Linked DNA regions of Elephas maximus indicus. The protein of the gene in region 1 interacts with the protein of each later gene in a pairwise test. Links are inferred from orthologs where the notes say so. Each region holds a gene or a part of one and is shown on either strand. Other genes may lie near its edges. The genes, in order: PTPN9 and RTN3.

Evidence for each region.
Region 2: the proteins of PTPN9 (region 1) and RTN3 interact in binary tests that used the Homo sapiens proteins (3 or more experiments, as listed by UniProt). The two-hybrid records come from large-scale screens. The link is inferred for Elephas maximus indicus from reciprocal best matches to the Homo sapiens genes PTPN9 and RTN3.

Annotation. Positions count from the first base shown.
Region 1 is NC_064831.1:65,482,833-65,486,736, reverse strand, and holds the start of PTPN9 (tyrosine-protein phosphatase non-receptor type 9), read left to right. Parts: upstream 1-1,134; 5' UTR 1,135-1,426; coding exon 1,427-1,489; intron 1,490-3,904. UniProt on the Homo sapiens protein: Protein-tyrosine phosphatase that could participate in the transfer of hydrophobic ligands or in functions of the Golgi apparatus.
Region 2 is NC_064825.1:126,882,847-126,886,750, forward strand, and holds the start of RTN3 (reticulon-3), read left to right. Parts: upstream 1-1,486; 5' UTR 1,487-1,652; coding exon 1,653-1,794; intron 1,795-3,904. UniProt on the Homo sapiens protein: May be involved in membrane trafficking in the early secretory pathway. Inhibits BACE1 activity and amyloid precursor protein processing. May induce caspase-8 cascade and apoptosis.

The DNA.
Region 1 (3,904 bases):
GGATACAGCTGGCAAGGAGAGAGAGCGAGATGGAGCCGCGATTAGCTGCCTCTCCTTTCCACCTGAGCATCCTAGACCTCGCAGGCAACCTTTCCAGGAGCTTTTAGTCAGCAAGTGGCATGGAAACAGACGAGCATTGTGTCCCCTCAACATATAGGTGGTTGCCGCAAATCAAACCTAGCCGATTTGCCCTTCAGACAGTTTTCAAACTCTTCTTCCTACAAGGAGCTTAGTTTAACCTCTTAGGAAAACCACACTCTTTTCTTCCCTTTTCTCCCTCCTGCAGCCCGGAGTCTCCTTCTGTACAGCTCCGCAGCCACCCCTCCTCCGTCTCCCCCACCCCGCGGGCTCCTCTCTCCTCCCCTGTACCGCCCTCTGGGGGCCCCTCTCCGTCTCCCCCTCCTCTCTCCTCCCCTGTACCCCCCCCGAAGGCCCCTCTCCGTCTCCCCTTCCTCTCCCCTCCCCTGTATCCCCCCCCAGGGCCCCTCTCCGTCTCCCCCTCCTCTCTCCTCCCCTGTACCCCCCCCGAGGGCCCCTCTCCGTCTCCCCCTCCTCTCCCCTCCCCTGTATCCCCCCCGAGGGCCCCTCTCCGTCTCCCCCTCCTCTCTCCTCCCCTGTACCCCCTCCGGGGGCCCCTCTCTGTCTCCTCTTCCTCTTCCCCCCGCCCGCTCCGCCCCCCAGGGCCCCTCTCCGTCTCCCCCTCCTCTCCCCTCCCCTGTGCCCCCCGCCCCGCGGGCCCCTCTCTGTCTCCCCCTCCCGGACGACGTCCTCGCTCTGCCGGGCCCTCCTCGCCGCCTGTTTGTGAATGAGACGCTCAGTTTCTCAATGGAGCCGCGGAGGGCTTGGGCGGCCGCAGCTTTGGCCCTGAGCCGGCAGGGGGGCGCCTTCTCCTCGTTCCCTCCCTCCTTCCCTCCCTCTCCCCGCCGCCGCTTTTGAGGAACGAGGCGGAGAGGCGGCCGCGCAGGTCGCCGGGGCCCGCAGCCCGAGCACGGCCCGAGCGGCGGCCTGGAGGCTCCGTCACGTCTGCGGGCGCCGGAGAACCGAGAAGGCCGGTGGCTTTCGGGAAGTTTCCACGCCGTCCTTTGGCTCCGGCCTTGAAAACTTCTTTATTTAATAGCTCCGTTTCTAATCCCGGTTGGCTGTTAGCTCCTCGCCTGCATTTTTTTTTTTTTTCCGGGAGAGGAGGGAGAGTGTGAGGGAAAGAGAGAAGAAAATAAAAAAGGATTTCCGCCCAGAAGGGAGCCGCAGTTCGGAGAGGGTTTTGTGCGCAGACGGGAGCGGGTCTGCGGCCGCCGCGGGCGCCGGGCCCCGCCGGCCGGACCATGCGCGAGCCGGCCTCGGGCTGCTGAGCGCGGGACGCGGAAGCGGAGGCCACAGTCCGGGCTCCCCGGCTCCCGGGCGACTGTGTCCGCGGGGCGGCGGCGGGATGGAGCCCGCGACCGCGCCCCGGCCCGACATGGCGCCGGAGCTGACCCCGGAGGAGGAGCAGGTAAGCGGGGCCGCGGCGGCTGCGGTGGGTGTGTCGGGCCCCCGAGGCCTAGGCCAGCTTCTGCCTCCTCCCCAGGCCGCGCTCCCGGGCCGCGCCCCGCGCCCAGGCCCCGCGCCCAGGCCCCGCAGCGTCCCCGCTCCAGCGCCCCGCACCCCGCGCCCAGGCCCCTAAGCGTCCCCGTTCCAGCGCTCCGCGCCCCGCACCCCGCGCCCAGGCCCCGCAGCGTCCCCGCTTCAGCGCCCCGCGCCCCGCAGCGTCCCCGCTCCAGCGCCCCGCACCCCGCGCCCAGGCCCCGCAGCGTCCCCGTTCCAGCGCCCCGCGCCCCGAGCCCAGGCCCCGCAGCGTCCCCGCTCCAGCGCCCCACGCCCCGCAGCGTCCCCGTTCCAGCGCCCCGCACCCCGCGCCCAGGCCCCGCAGCGTCCCCGCTCCAGCGCCGGGCAGCTGGGCGGCCTCTCCCCCTCCCCCGCCCGGCGGCCGCGCCCAGGGTCGTCGTCCCCCGAGACGGGGGGGCGCCGCTGGACCCTGCCCCTTGCCTCTTTTATCCCCGAGGCTTATAGGTCTTATTTTGCCCCTCACTGTGCCGGGTTTAATTAAAGTTCCTCGAATTGGGGGGTCTCTTTTTCCCTCCCCTCCACCTCCGCGTTTGCAGAACACACACTTGCCCCGGCGGCCCTTTCAAAGCCCATAAATGTATTGCTGCTTTCTGTGAGGGGTTGTGGTTTTTTAAGGGCAGGAAAAGCCCCAGATTTGGGCGAGTGTGATAGGCACTGGGTGCATAGATGCCCTGGGTTTTCACAGGAGCCCCGCAAGCTTCTCAAAGGGCTGTGGCAGGGTTGTCTTGGAATATGCAGACCAGGCCTTCTCATGCTGCCGAAGTCCCTGGCCTTGGCGTCCCTACTCACCCATCCCAGTCTGAGCGCATCCCCTCGCCCTCACTCCCTACCCCAATCTCTTCTGACTGCCTCCATCTTTCTGAAGCCTCCATTGAGTTCCATTGTCCCTTAAAGCTTATGATCTTCAATCCCCAGTAGGAAGTGGTTTGCGGTATCAGTTTGGGGCTTGGGGAAGGGAGAAGGCAGAGGCCATTATGACTTTCCCTCCCCCACATTCCAGCTCTGGAGACACAGATCACTCCATCTGAGGAAGACAGGAAAGTCGGCTGGGTCAGATTGGGAACCTTGAAGGCTTTTCGCTGTATCTTCCTTGGTACTGCCCATACCCAGCCTTAGCTATGCTCAGATATAGCTATAGTCTGATTCCGTTTTTTTTTTAAGACCTGAAAAAAGAAAAAGGTGAACATTTAAAGCTGTCCAGCCCTTGTTTCCAAGGACCACATTTTTTACCATAATCTCTAGCGTGGAGACAATTTAGGTTTACAAAATAATATTGGCTCATAGGCTTAAAACCTGATTAAAAAAAAAAAATCCCTTGACTTTTCTCCTCATTTGTGGAGATGACATTTTTCATGTTGGCCTCAGATCACAGTCTTGTCTTTTGATGCCTTGAGATAAAATCAGCATGGGAAAAAAAAATAGAATTCTGCTGCGTACAAGAAGTGGTAACATCCTGGTAACTGCAGTTGAGTGTTAATGAAACACTAAAAAGAGGGCCTAATGCAAGCAGATGGCCTTGGAGCCCATCCTGTCAGAATTAGTGCAATACCTCAGTACTAAGGTGAGATGTGTTATGTTGATTTTAAAGGAGGAAATCTCTTTCATCTCTTTTTCCTTGGGTTAGTCAGATTTGAAGTTTCTATGTTTCTAGACTTAAAGGCAGCAGTATGCCTACTATGAAAGCGCCATTAGGTTGCAAATTAAAAAATGAAACCAGGGAAAGTGAATATTGAAGCATCGGTAATGGTAATAATTTTATTCTGTATATAGTTTGTATACATACAGGTGTGTTATTTTTTTTTTTTTTTACATTAGAATGAACGCAATGGACAGTAAAGAGGACCGGATAGAAATAGTAAAATGTTTATATGTTAAGGTCAAGAGATTATATGTTATTTTTTCAATCATACCTTTTGTTTTCTACAAAATGCTAAGTTTCCTATATACATCTCAAAATGTTGAAACACTGAAACACGAACATGAAAGCAGAATAGTTATGGTAATGCCTGATGTTCTCATCTTTTAGTTTAATATCACATAAGGAAGAGTACTCTTAACGGTTAAGGTTTCTTTAAAATATTTAACAGGAGCAAATGCATGTTAACCTCATTGAAGTAGCTGTAATGGGAAATGACACACTCATTCCATAATGTTGTCCCATTGCTCAAACCAGTTTTGGAACTCATTTGTAATCGATTTCAAAACTGTGGCAGAATCTTTGAAGTATCTTCTATGTTGGAAAATCCTTGTACTTTTAAAAATCAATTTGATTTCGGGAAGTAGCAAAAAAAACAAATCTGTT
Region 2 (3,904 bases), on another chromosome or scaffold:
ACCTAATGACATGAGTTTTTTATTCATTATCAGTGCGGGTATACAACCAGCTTGGTTATCAGATCAGCTTGTATGTCCCTTTGCCATCTAAGGGGCACTTTGCTGCTGCATTATCAACTGATGCTGTAAGTGTCAGGGTAAGATATTTACTGCAAAGTTATTTTGGGAAATATTCTTCTGTGCTTTTTTCAGAGCATTGCAACTGCTAGGAGTTTTTTTTTTTTTTTTCCTGTCTGGGTTTTACCTGACCTTAAAAACTGTCAAGGACAGATGGAGTCCACTGCCTGTTCTAGAAGATTTCTACCCTTTGGATTGCCCTCTGTGGCCGCCTGGCTGACTACCTCCTGCTGCATGAGGTTGCATCTTTACAGGATCTGCTGATCCTGCAATTGCCCTTCAGGTCATTGATTGCTGCTTTAGCAATAACAAAGCCTATGGCCTTGATTTTTATTATTTCCAGGATACGTTCTCCTTTTTAAATGGATTATGCACCTGGCAAATATCTTGACCAGATGTAGGCTTTGAATTTGGCAAGCCAACCCAGGAGAAACAAGAAAATGAACAAAATTCAGTATAAGCTGGATGTCTGGTTTCAAATATATTTTCTACTAAGTACTCCTTTAATAAAAAAAACTCTATTATGTGAATTTTGTGTTATATTCTCAATTTTTAATACGTTATCATCCCCCATAACCACAGCCAGGATGTTCTTATTTCCTGGCTCTTTTTTTCCTCACCAGACCAGCTTCTTTTCCTTCAAAATATGTCTTCTCTGTCCGAAGGCCTATTCAGAGGCAAGGTCAAGCTTAAGACCCAAAGTGGACCCCTCTTTGGAAAGAGCAACGAGATAAGAATAAGAAGTAGGTTTGGCGGCTGCATTGCAATGTGATTGGAATGAGTAATGGTTTTTCACTCTGCTCAGCATCTTCCTCCACCTACCAAATGGGGGACTGTGCCTTCTCTGCCGCATGGTGATGACACATTACGACACGTCTAGATAAATTCATAAAGCACTTTTAAAGTGGGCCTGCTCAACACTATGGTTTTCAGTTTTCATAGTCTCAGGTGGGAATGCATCGGACACAAGACATCGGCTCTGTAATTTATGGGAAAGATACTTCCCATCTAATGGAAGCAAAAAGAAACGTCTCTCGCTAAAAACACAAACTACCGACCCTAAAAAAAAAAAAAAGTTTACATAAATAAATATGAGGAAACACCTCCCGCTTCGGCCGCAGGGGCGGGCGGAGCTCGGAGCACGGCCACGCCCCTTGCTCTGGCCCTCCCGGGGGGCGCGCCCCACCCCGGCCGCTCAGGCCGGGCGCTAAGGGAGGCCAGCTTTGCCCCGCCTTTCCTGCAGAGCGCGGAGGGACAGTTCTTGCGCCTGCGCTCTGAGCCGCTTGGCTTCTCCGCGAGGCTCCCGCCCGCCCCCGCCGTGCGCTCGAGGGCCCTTTGTGCGCCTGCGCGCTCTCCCTCCCTCCCTCCTCTCTCGCGCTCGCCTGGGCTCAGTCGGTCAGTCAGTCGGAGTCTGTCCTCGGAGCAGGAAGGCTGAGGGGACTTCGGAGCGCCAGCTGCCCGATTAGTTTATTTCCCTTCCCTCTCTCCCGCCCCACATCTCTCCTCACCCGTCTCCCGCCCTTGCTCGCGCAGCCATGGCGGAGCCGTCGGCGGCCACTCAATCTCCGTCCGTCTCCTCGTCGTCCTCCGGGGCCGAGCCCTCCGCGCCCGGCGGCGGCGGGAGCCCGGGAGCCTGCCCCGCCCTGGGGGCGAAGACCTGCGGCTCCTCCTGTGCGGGTGAGGAGAGCCGGGGAGCCCCTGCCCTCGGGAGGGAGGGTGCTCGGGGCCGGGGGCTCAGTCGGGGGGCGCAGTGGGGTGAGGGGACCGGCAAACTACCCTCGGCTGCTGAGGGATTCGGCCCCCGGGAATGAGCGTTTGGAAAATGGGCAAAGGGGGAGGGGAGCCTAAGGTCGTGCAAGCGATGAGGAAATAACGGGGTGTGGGGAAAACAGGTTGGGGGTGGGGAGGTAGCCTAGAGAGTAGGCGTTAACACCAAGATCTGTCTGGTGGGGGAAAAACACCAGTTCGGGGGAGGGTGGGATTAGATGGACTATTGCTGCAAACATATGACGAGCCAGGTTCGGGGCGACGAAAGCGCAGTCGTCTGAATGGGGTTGATTTAGTGGAGGATTAGAGAGACTGAGGCTATAAAGAGGATCGGGACAGGTTGGTGATAGGAGCAATAATTAGGATTTTGAGGGGATGGAGGTGGAAAGGTTGCAGTGCAGATTTGCAGACAGGTGTTGTCATAATCAGACATGGTAGTCTTCAGTGTTTTTTGTGTTTTTTTTTGCCCGTGGGGAGAATGAGGAAGTTAAACCTGTTTCTTTACTGTTTTTTGTGCCTTTAATTTTTGGTGGCATGCCCGATTTAAAGAGGCGTGATGAGAATAGCTCGGGGAAGATTTGGGAGGGAACAGCTGGTGGGCCAAGATGGATCCGTGGCTGCCTCTGCAGCACAGCCCACTCTTCCCTGGCGCGGCGTGGGGGTGGGCGTATGCAATCAGTCGCATATATTCTAGAAGGTAATAAATAAGGAGCAATGAGAAGCCATCAAATGTGTTTGGGTTTTGTATTTTTTTTTTTTTTTGTGGGCTATTATCAATCGCATTGTAACAAAAGGGGGCGTTTGCTGCAGAAAGGGGGGCGGGGGGAGAAATTCAGACAAAGCAGGAGCTGGTTGAAGCCCCTTCTCCTCCCATCTCTGTGAAAGACGAGAAGCGAAGCTGCAGGCCGCCTTTAGTTTCCATTGTATACGCGTCTGCCTGCTGGTGGGAGCTGGCTGGCAGGCTCCCCTCATGCAGAGATCTGCAGTGCAGATGCCGTCTTGAGGGGAAGAAAATGCACCATGAGCAGGCAGGTGGTGGTTCTTAAAGGAATTGAGTCTTTGAATTAAAAAATAAAATAAAATGCTTTTTGTTAAAGGAAGGGCCATAAGCTAGATAATTTTGCTCTCTAGTTATGTTAAAGGATTTGAGATATTTTAAAATGGTTCTTTGTCTCCTTTGCCAGAATCTTGGGTTGATCGTTCTAAAGAAATAAGATTTCTGATCTTAGCTTTAAATATATTCTCCCCGTGCTGATAGTAGATTTCCACCTGTTTAAGAGCTTTGGTGCCTGGTCGGATTTTCCAGTGTGGTTATGGTCATTTCATTGGAAACAGACCGTATCAGAGGACGCTTTTGCAGGTCAGGATTCGCCCTCAACGGAATGAGGCAGCAAATTTGGAACCCTCGTTTCCTTCACACCACCAGCGTTTCTCCAAATTTTTGTGTTCTGGGCAAAGATCCAAATGAACAGCAGCTTCTTTCTTATTTAGCGACTTGGTGTTTTGGCTTTAATTACTTGTCTCTGCTTACTGTTTGGTCCTTTGGTGCAAACCTTTTGATTTTTCTGTATTTGATTCAGACCTGAGTTTTTGGGATTGCCCTTTAGTGCTCAAGATAAGACCAGTGTTAAATGTTGAGGGTCATTCTTATTAGCAGGCATTAAAATTTAGTCCTAACATTTGCAGCCAAATGGTGAAATCATTTGAAAATTGGCTTCTTTTTTTTCCCTTAATGCTCTGTAATGGAAGAATTGGCTTCTTTAATAGTCCAGTGAAATGAAAATATTTTGTTCACAGACACGCACATGTACACCCCACCAAGCAAACCCTGAATTGGAAATACATATTTAATATGTAATCTCTTTGGTTTGTGTTTCTGATACCATTTATCCTTGTCACAATTTTTATTTATTCTTGGCTTTACCTTCCCCCCCGCCCCCCGCCCCGCCACTGTATGATGGTGGAAAGAATGCTGAAATTATGTGTTTTACAGAAAGTAGTGGAATTTATATTTTAAAGT